Canis lupus familiaris: one gene and its partner. The protein of the gene in region 1 interacts with the protein of each later gene in a biochemical or structural test. Links are inferred from orthologs where the notes say so. Each region holds a gene or a part of one and is shown on either strand. Other genes may lie near its edges. The genes, in order: GTF2B and GTF2F1.

The links.
Region 2: the proteins of GTF2B (region 1) and GTF2F1 form a complex in vitro, tested with the Homo sapiens proteins (3 studies listed by BioGRID and IntAct). The link is inferred for Canis lupus familiaris from reciprocal best matches to the Homo sapiens genes GTF2B and GTF2F1.

What each region holds. Positions count from the first base shown.
Region 1 is NC_049227.1:60,037,230-60,041,044, forward strand, and holds part of GTF2B (transcription initiation factor IIB), read left to right. Parts: intron 1-833; coding exon 834-980; intron 981-1,112; coding exon 1,113-1,242; intron 1,243-3,815. UniProt on the Homo sapiens protein: General transcription factor that plays a role in transcription initiation by RNA polymerase II (Pol II). Involved in the pre-initiation complex (PIC) formation and Pol II recruitment at promoter DNA.
Region 2 is NC_049241.1:54,175,934-54,179,748, reverse strand, and holds the end of GTF2F1 (general transcription factor IIF subunit 1), read right to left. Parts: intron 2,471-3,815; coding exon 2,286-2,470; intron 1,747-2,285; coding exon 1,593-1,746; intron 1,513-1,592; coding exon 1,331-1,512; intron 1,220-1,330; coding exon 1,143-1,219; intron 1,065-1,142; coding exon 926-1,064; intron 754-925; coding exon 636-753; intron 544-635; coding exon 339-543; 3' UTR 291-338; downstream 1-290. UniProt on the Homo sapiens protein: TFIIF is a general transcription initiation factor that binds to RNA polymerase II and helps to recruit it to the initiation complex in collaboration with TFIIB. It promotes transcription elongation.

The DNA of each region.
Region 1 (3,815 bases):
TTTCAGCTTAAAGTGAGAAACATGTGACTATTCCTCTGACTTAGAAGCCATTATAGGGTTATTAATCGGCCTAATTTCAATATTGTTGAGTCTCAGGGAATAGGGAGGCCCAAGGAGAGAGGGAGAGAGATGGGGAAACAGCTGCTCAGTAGAACACACAAATTTATTAAGTTTGCTGTCTTAAAAGTGTGCAGTTTGTGGAGCCCCAAAACAATAGTAACATCAAAGATCACAGATCACTGTAAGAAATACAGTGAATAAATTTGAAATGTTACAAGAATTACTAACATGTGACAGAGACCTGAAGTGAGCAAATGCTGTTGGAATAAGGGCGCCAATAGACTTGCTCAACTTGGGTTGCCTTAAACTTTCAGTTTGTTAACAGTACAAAAACACGGTCTCTGCAAAGTGCAGTAAAATGAAGCACAATAAAACAAGGTATGCCTTTTCTTCCCATTAATAATTGTGCTGGCTTTGGGCCTGGGAGAATGATTTTCTAATACAAAGAAATACCCATTTGTAATATTTTGTGAGTTTGTAATAAAAAAAATGGCTTTTGAGTTTTATTTGCTTGCCTTTATAGCACCTTTGGAGATGATCCTTTCATTTTTCTCCTTAGGTCTATTAGGTGATGGTTTATACTCTTGAGCTCTCTCACAGGTACTCATTTACACCATCTCAACCTGGTACTTATTCTACTGAGGATTAGAGAGGAGGCACAGGGTAGATTTCTTGGGCTTATACAGAGTGTATAAGTTATGTTTCCTTAGAAATGTCTATTCATTCAGATTTAAAAATTTTTTTGCATAAAGTTATAAAACCTTGTTTTACAGGGTACAGGAGCTGCAAGTTTTGATGAATTTGGCAATTCTAAGTACCAAAATCGGAGAACAATGAGTAGTTCTGATCGGGCAATGATGAATGCTTTCAAAGAAATCACTACTATGGCAGACAGAATCAACCTCCCCCGAAATATAGTTGTAAGTTTTTGTCTGTCTCCTTTAAGCCATTCTGACATTGACTTAGTGTAATTTATTGAACACATGAAATTTTGATATTGCAACTAATTAAATGGCCTAGAGTTAATTAAACTTAGTTTCTTTGCTTTGAAGGATCGAACAAATAATTTATTCAAGCAAGTATATGAACAGAAGAGCCTGAAGGGAAGAGCTAATGATGCCATAGCTTCCGCTTGTCTCTATATTGCCTGTAGACAAGAAGGGGTTCCTAGGACATTCAAAGGTAAGTTTTTAATTGCAGAGATACAAATATTCTCTGTGTTAAAGTAACAGACCAAAGTCAAGGAACTTGGACACCACATAACTAAGTCAGGTTTCCCTGGTTACGTACGATATCCATCTTGGTATCATTTCCAAAAATACCTCTTTAATTTGTTCTCTGATAAAAATTAATTCTGTGATCTGAACCATGTTCTTCTCAGGCTCTTTTCCCATGTAAAGTCATTTTAGTCCATGTAAGCTCTGTGTTCTTTGCTTGTGAGATCTTTTGAGCTGACTGCATTTTGTGGCCTTTGAGGCCTGTTATCATAAGCCAGAGTATACCTTTGTTACTGGTTAAGTCTGTACACTTGATGCACAGAAAACTATTTCTAAGACCATGCACAGGTCTCTACAGGTGAAGGAGTCAAGCCTTAGAAAACATCAGGGACATTTTTCTCAAGTTCTGTAGTTTGCACTTTCACCCTTAAGTTGGAGGGTTTGAAAGAACTAGTATTTTTCATCCAGTTTGTATTCAAGATTAATATAGGACAGCTTATTCACAGTGCTGCTGTCTGTGACCCTTATTGCTCTGACTTTCTCCGCCAGAGTTCATTTCAGCTTAAGATTTTCATTACCTTTCATTCACCCATGAATATCTTACAATGAAGCAGTGGCTTTTTTTTTTTTAATTTTTATTTATTTATTCTTGAGATATAGAGACAGGCAGAGACACAGGCAGAGGGAGAAGCAGGCTCCATGCAGGGAGCCCGATGTGAGACTTGATCCCAGGTCTCCAGGATCACGCCCTGGGGCTGAAGGCGGGGCTAAACCACTGAGCTAAACCACTGAGCCACCGGGGCGAGGCAGTGGCTTTTATCCTCCTCATCTTTTTGTTTATTACAACTAAAACTAAGGCTTTTGTTAAATTTGTGTTTGGTAGTTTAATTTTTAGAATAACAGAGTCAAATACTTGATCTCATTTTGTTGTTATAGCCTATGACCCCAGGGATTGCATATACATATGACATTGGGTAGCTTGAGAAGTATCCTTTAGCTTTGAGTATATTCTTTTATCTCCTTGATACACACTCCTTACAAAAGATTTATACATAAATATCAATGGAGTTTTGGATTATTTGAAAAAACTTGTTTCTTTGAATTGAAACTTGTTAGTATTTTGAAATAATAAAAACCGACATTTAACTCATTTCAAAGACTTCTTTAAAGTGTGATAAACATTTAAATTAATTGAGGGGGTGCCTGGGTGGCTCAGTCAGTTAAGTATCTGATTCTTGGCTTTGGCTCAGGTCATGATCTCAGGGAGATCATGTGATCTAGATTGATAAGTGCCGCATCAGGCTTCAGGCTCAGTGCGGAGTCTGCTTGAGAATCTCTCTCCCTCCTCCTCCCCACTGCTCGTGCGTGCTCACTCTAAAACTAAATATATCTTTTTTAAAAAAATTAACTGAGAAATTTTAAATTAGCTCTATGGGAAGTATTGAGAGGCATGTTTTGTTCTTTATTGAGGTAACTGGTATGTTATATACCGTGTGTGCCTGTGTGTGTACACCATATATACCATATATACTATATGTGCCATAGGTGAGTTCTAGTTGCACAATATTATACATTTGACCCTTGAACAACACAAATTTGAACTTCACACATCTAATTATATGCAGATTTTTTTTTTTTTTTTTTTACATAGTGCAGTACTGTAAGTGTAGTTTCTCTTACGATTTTTTTTTTTTTTTAAAGATTTTATTATTCATGAGAGACACAGAAAGAGGCAGACACAGGCAGAGGGAGAAGCAGGCTCCATGCAGGGAGCCCGATGCGAGACTCAATCCCAGAACTACAGGATCATGCCCTGAACCAAAGGCAGATGCAACCACTGAGTCACCCAGGCGTCCCATCTCTTATGATATTATTAATATTGTCTCTGGCTTTTTTGTTAAAATACAATCCATAATATACAAAATGTTGACTATTATTGCTAAGGCTTTCATTCAACAGTATGCTACTGGTAGTTCAAGTTTTGGGGAGGGTAAAAAGTTATTCATGGATTTTTGACTGTGCTGGGAGTTGGCACCCTCTAATCCCTGAGTTGTTCAGGGGTCAACTGTAATTTGACATATGTTACATACTACAAAGTAATCACTAAAATCCAGCTACCAGCCATCACCATATAGTTGATTCCCTTCACTCATTTTGCCTACTCAACTCCTTTCCCCTCTTGTAACCACCAGTGTGTTCTGTGTCCATGAGTTTTTATTTGTTAATTTTTTGTTTTCGTTTTCCACATATGAGTAAAATCATATGGTATTGGTCTTTCTCAGTCTTCGTAGCATAATACTTTCTAGTGACAAGATTTTATTCTTTTTTAAGGCAGAATAGTATCCATTGTATTGATATACCTCCTCTTCATCTATCTATTGATAGAAAGACTGTTTCCGTATCTTGGGTATTATAAATAATGCGCAGTGAACATAGGGGTGCAGAAATCATTTTGAATCCTTGTCTTTTTATTCTTCATATTCTTTGTATAAATACCCAGAAATGGAATAGCTGGATAATATGGTATTTCTAGTCTTA
Region 2 (3,815 bases), on another chromosome or scaffold:
AGAGCCGGGCCTGGGAGCCGAGCACTTCATGGGTTGGGGGGGGGGGGGGGGGGGGGGGGGGTGGGCACAGCTGAAGGCAGAACCGGAAGCCAGCTGGAGGGACGGCCGCCCACGCAGACACGCAGAGAGCACCATGGGCTGAGGACTAAGGAGCCAGCTCCAAGGGGCAGGGGAAGGTTCCCGGAGGGAGGGACCTGGGAGACCAGAGGACGGCCCGGGGTGATCCCGCACTGACAAGGGGGCTCTGGGACTCAGGGAGCAGGTGACAGACAATGCGAGCACCCAGGAGGTTCTGGCGACGGAGCCTGTTTATTGGGCAGGTGGGTGGGCGCCGCCCGTCACTCCTTGAGGGAGAAGTGCATCTTGTCGCTGATCATCTTGCGCTCGGGGTTGAGCCGCTTGAGGATCTGCGCGAGCACGTTCACGGTCTGCTCGCTGCTCAGCCCCGTCTTCTTGGTCTGGAACTTCTTCAGCAGGTCCTTGGTGGTCATGGGCTTCCGCGTCAGGTAGCGGCGCACCGCGTCCTCCGTCACCTGCACGTCTCTGTGGGGCCAAGCAGAGGGCGGCGTGGGCGGGCGTCCGCAGGCGGCCTCCCCACACCCCCGCCCCGCCCCTGCCATTCCCCCGCAACGTACCCGCTGCTGGGGGTCGACTTCCCCGACTGGGGCTGAGGGGTTGACTTCCCCGACAGGCTCTGGGGCCCCGGGTCCAGCCGCAGACGCTTGGCCACCGGCGTCTCATTGGTCCGCTTGCCTGGGGGAGCGGGAACAGGGCTGAGTCCTGTGCTCGAAGTGGGGGAGCCCAGGCGGAGGGGTGCCAGGATCCCAGTGCAGGGGGCCCAGGGGGCACACAGGCCTTGGCTCCCGAAGCAGAATGCGGGCCAAGGGTGGGAGAAGAGGAGGCAGCGAGGCTGGGTCCCGCTCACCCTGCTCCAGCTTGTTGGCGGCGGCCCGCAGGGTGGAGGACGTGCTGCCACTCTCCGCGCTCGGGCTGCCCGGCCGGCTGTTGCCCCGAGAGCTGCCTCCCGACGGCCTCCGCTCCCGCTTGGGGGGTGTCTTCTTCTTCTGTGGAGATGGGGTCCGGGACATGAGTCTACAGATAGCCCGTCGCCTGCCCCCTCCCGCCCCCGGGCCGGGCCATACCGCCATGAAGAGGGCCGAGGACGCCTCGCTGTCAATGTCGCTCTCCTCCGAGCTGTCCGACTCGTCGCTGCTGTCTGCTGGGGGCCAGAGGAGAGGTGTGGCTGCCGGGGTGCCCACCCGTGCCAGCCCCGCCTCGGGTAAGGGGCTAGGGGGTGGGGGGTGGGCTGGGATGCAGGGAGGGGACCCACCTTTCCTACGCTTCTTTTCCTGGGGCGTGGGCGCCTTCTTCTCCTCCTCCTCCTCCTTGTCCTCCTCGGGTGGCTTCTCCTCCTCGCTCTCCTCGCTGCTCTCGCTCTGCTCGTCTACGCCCTTGGGGCCCTCCTCCTGCTGGACGACCTTGGGCTTGCCCTCCAGCTCCTCCTGCGAGCTGCTAGAAGACAGAACGAGAGGGTGAGGGCCGGCCTGGGCCATCCTGGCCCCAACCCCTCGGCCGCCTCCTGCCTGCCTTACCTCGAGCCGTCCGACATGTAGTCCACCTCCTGGCCCTCGAAATCCCCATCGTCGCTGTCCTCGAAGGCCTCATCATCGGAGCCCTTCTTCTTTTTCTTCTTCTTGGTCCCCTTGGTGGGTGGTGCCTTCTTCTTGGCCTTGGGGGCTCTGCCCCCTGCGGAAGCAGAGGCGGGCTCAGGCTGGCGCTCATCCTATTTGGTGTATCCGAGGAGGTCCGCCTCGGCAGAAGCCCCCGAGGACCCACGTCTCCCAAGCAAACCCGACCAATGCAAGTCTACACCCCTGACTCCCTCTCTCCGGTTCTCACACTCAGGAACGCCACCTCCTTCCCTGCATCCCCCAGGACCGGGTACCGACAATCAGAAACCAGCCTGTGGCCAGAATTATTTGAATTGGCCAACCTGAAGCTGTTGCACCCTCTGCCCCTCCGCATTGCACATCCCGTGGGAGCCCCAATAAAGGCCACAGCTGAGACCTTCCTGTAGCTTTCTGCCTCCTACCAACTCAGGTGCTTGCCCAGTGGCCTGTGTAGCCTGCTGAGCCCTGCTCTCATTCCCAGGGGGCTGTGACTAAGCTTCAGTGGCACTAACCTCCCTGGGCCATCACTCAGACACCTTGACAAAGTACGACGCAAGCACAGATCACCAGGCTGTGCGGATCACCCAGTCACCCCGGGGGCTCCACCGGCCTCACCTTCCTCACCACTGGCCTCGCTGTCGTCAGACGACATCTCCAGGTCATCCTCCAGGTCGTGGATGCGCAGCTCACTGGCTTTCTTTCGGCTGCGCTTCTCCTTTTCCTCGTCTTCCTCCTCCTGATCCTGATCCTTGAGCCGTCGCTGCTGCATGATGCTGAAGTGGTTCAGGACTTTGTTTCTCCTGTGGGCAGGGGAATGGGATGCAGTGGGAGGTGACAAGGGGCCTAACTCCAGAAACCGGGCCTCCTAACTGCATCTACACCAGGCACTCCCCCAAAGGGGAACCATAGACACAACTTTGGTGATATGAGGGATGATCACAACCCTGGCAAGTAACACCCTGAAATTACATGCAGAGAGCTGAATTTCTTTGACTCCTTTCAGTCCTATGTCCCTCAAGGAGAAGCTCTCAGTGGTTTGGTATCCCAGCATCTCTCAAGCTCAAGGCCTTTCCCAGGCAACAACAGAATTTGGCCACAATGTATTTACATCCATGTGTTTTTATGGTAGTTTATGGGTGCCTTTGTTTTTATGACAAATAATACTGCTGTTTCCATTTACCGTGATGGTAAAAGTTTTTAAAGTTTTTAAAAATATGACTATCTAAAGAGAGTCTTAGGATTGTATCTAATAGCACAAGCAAAGTTCATCAGTGGCATGGGAAGGAGTAAAGCTCTTTGATACAAGAATGTGAGTGGACTTAACACTACTGATTAGTACACTTAGAGTTGACAAATTTTATTGTGTGTTTTTTAGTTATTTTTAATTATTTTTAATTAAAACATGGAATGAGGATCCCTGGGTGGCGCAGTGGTTTGGCGCCTGCCTTTGGCCCAGGGCGCGATCCTGGAGACCCGGGATCGAATCCCACATCGGGCTCCCGGTGCATGGAGCCTGCTTCTCCCTCTGCCTGTCTCTGCCTCTCTCTCTCTCTTTCTCTCTCTCTCTGTGACTATCATAAATAAATTAAAAAAAAAAATTAAAAAGAAAATTTAAAACATGGAATGAAATACTGATATATGCTACAACACAGATGAACCTTGAAGACCTGCTGAATGACATGCCAGTCACAAAAGGACCAATACTGCATGATCCCACTCGTATGAGGTCCCTTGAAGGGTCAACTCAGAGAAGGAAAGTGGAATGGTGGAAGCCAGGGTTGGAGAAAGGGGGCAAAGAATAACTTTCATGAGGACAGAGTTTCAGTTTGGGAAGATATGAAAGTTCTGGAGATGAATGGTGGTGAAGGTCGTACAACAATGTGAATGTACTTAATGCCACTGAACTGGATACTTAGAAAGGATGAAATGGCAAGCTTTTACATTACATACATTTTGCCTGTAGTTGATCCAGCCATAGCCCTCCTGCCTGGGGGATGCCAAGTGGGCCAGGGAGAGGCCCCTGCTCTGCCGATTCCTGCTCCATGACTCAGCTCACCTACCCCTCCCCAGCTCTCTCAGGGCCCTGTAGTCCCTGATGCTTGTGTCTGTCTCCCCCACTGAACTGGGAGCTCCCCCACGGCCTGG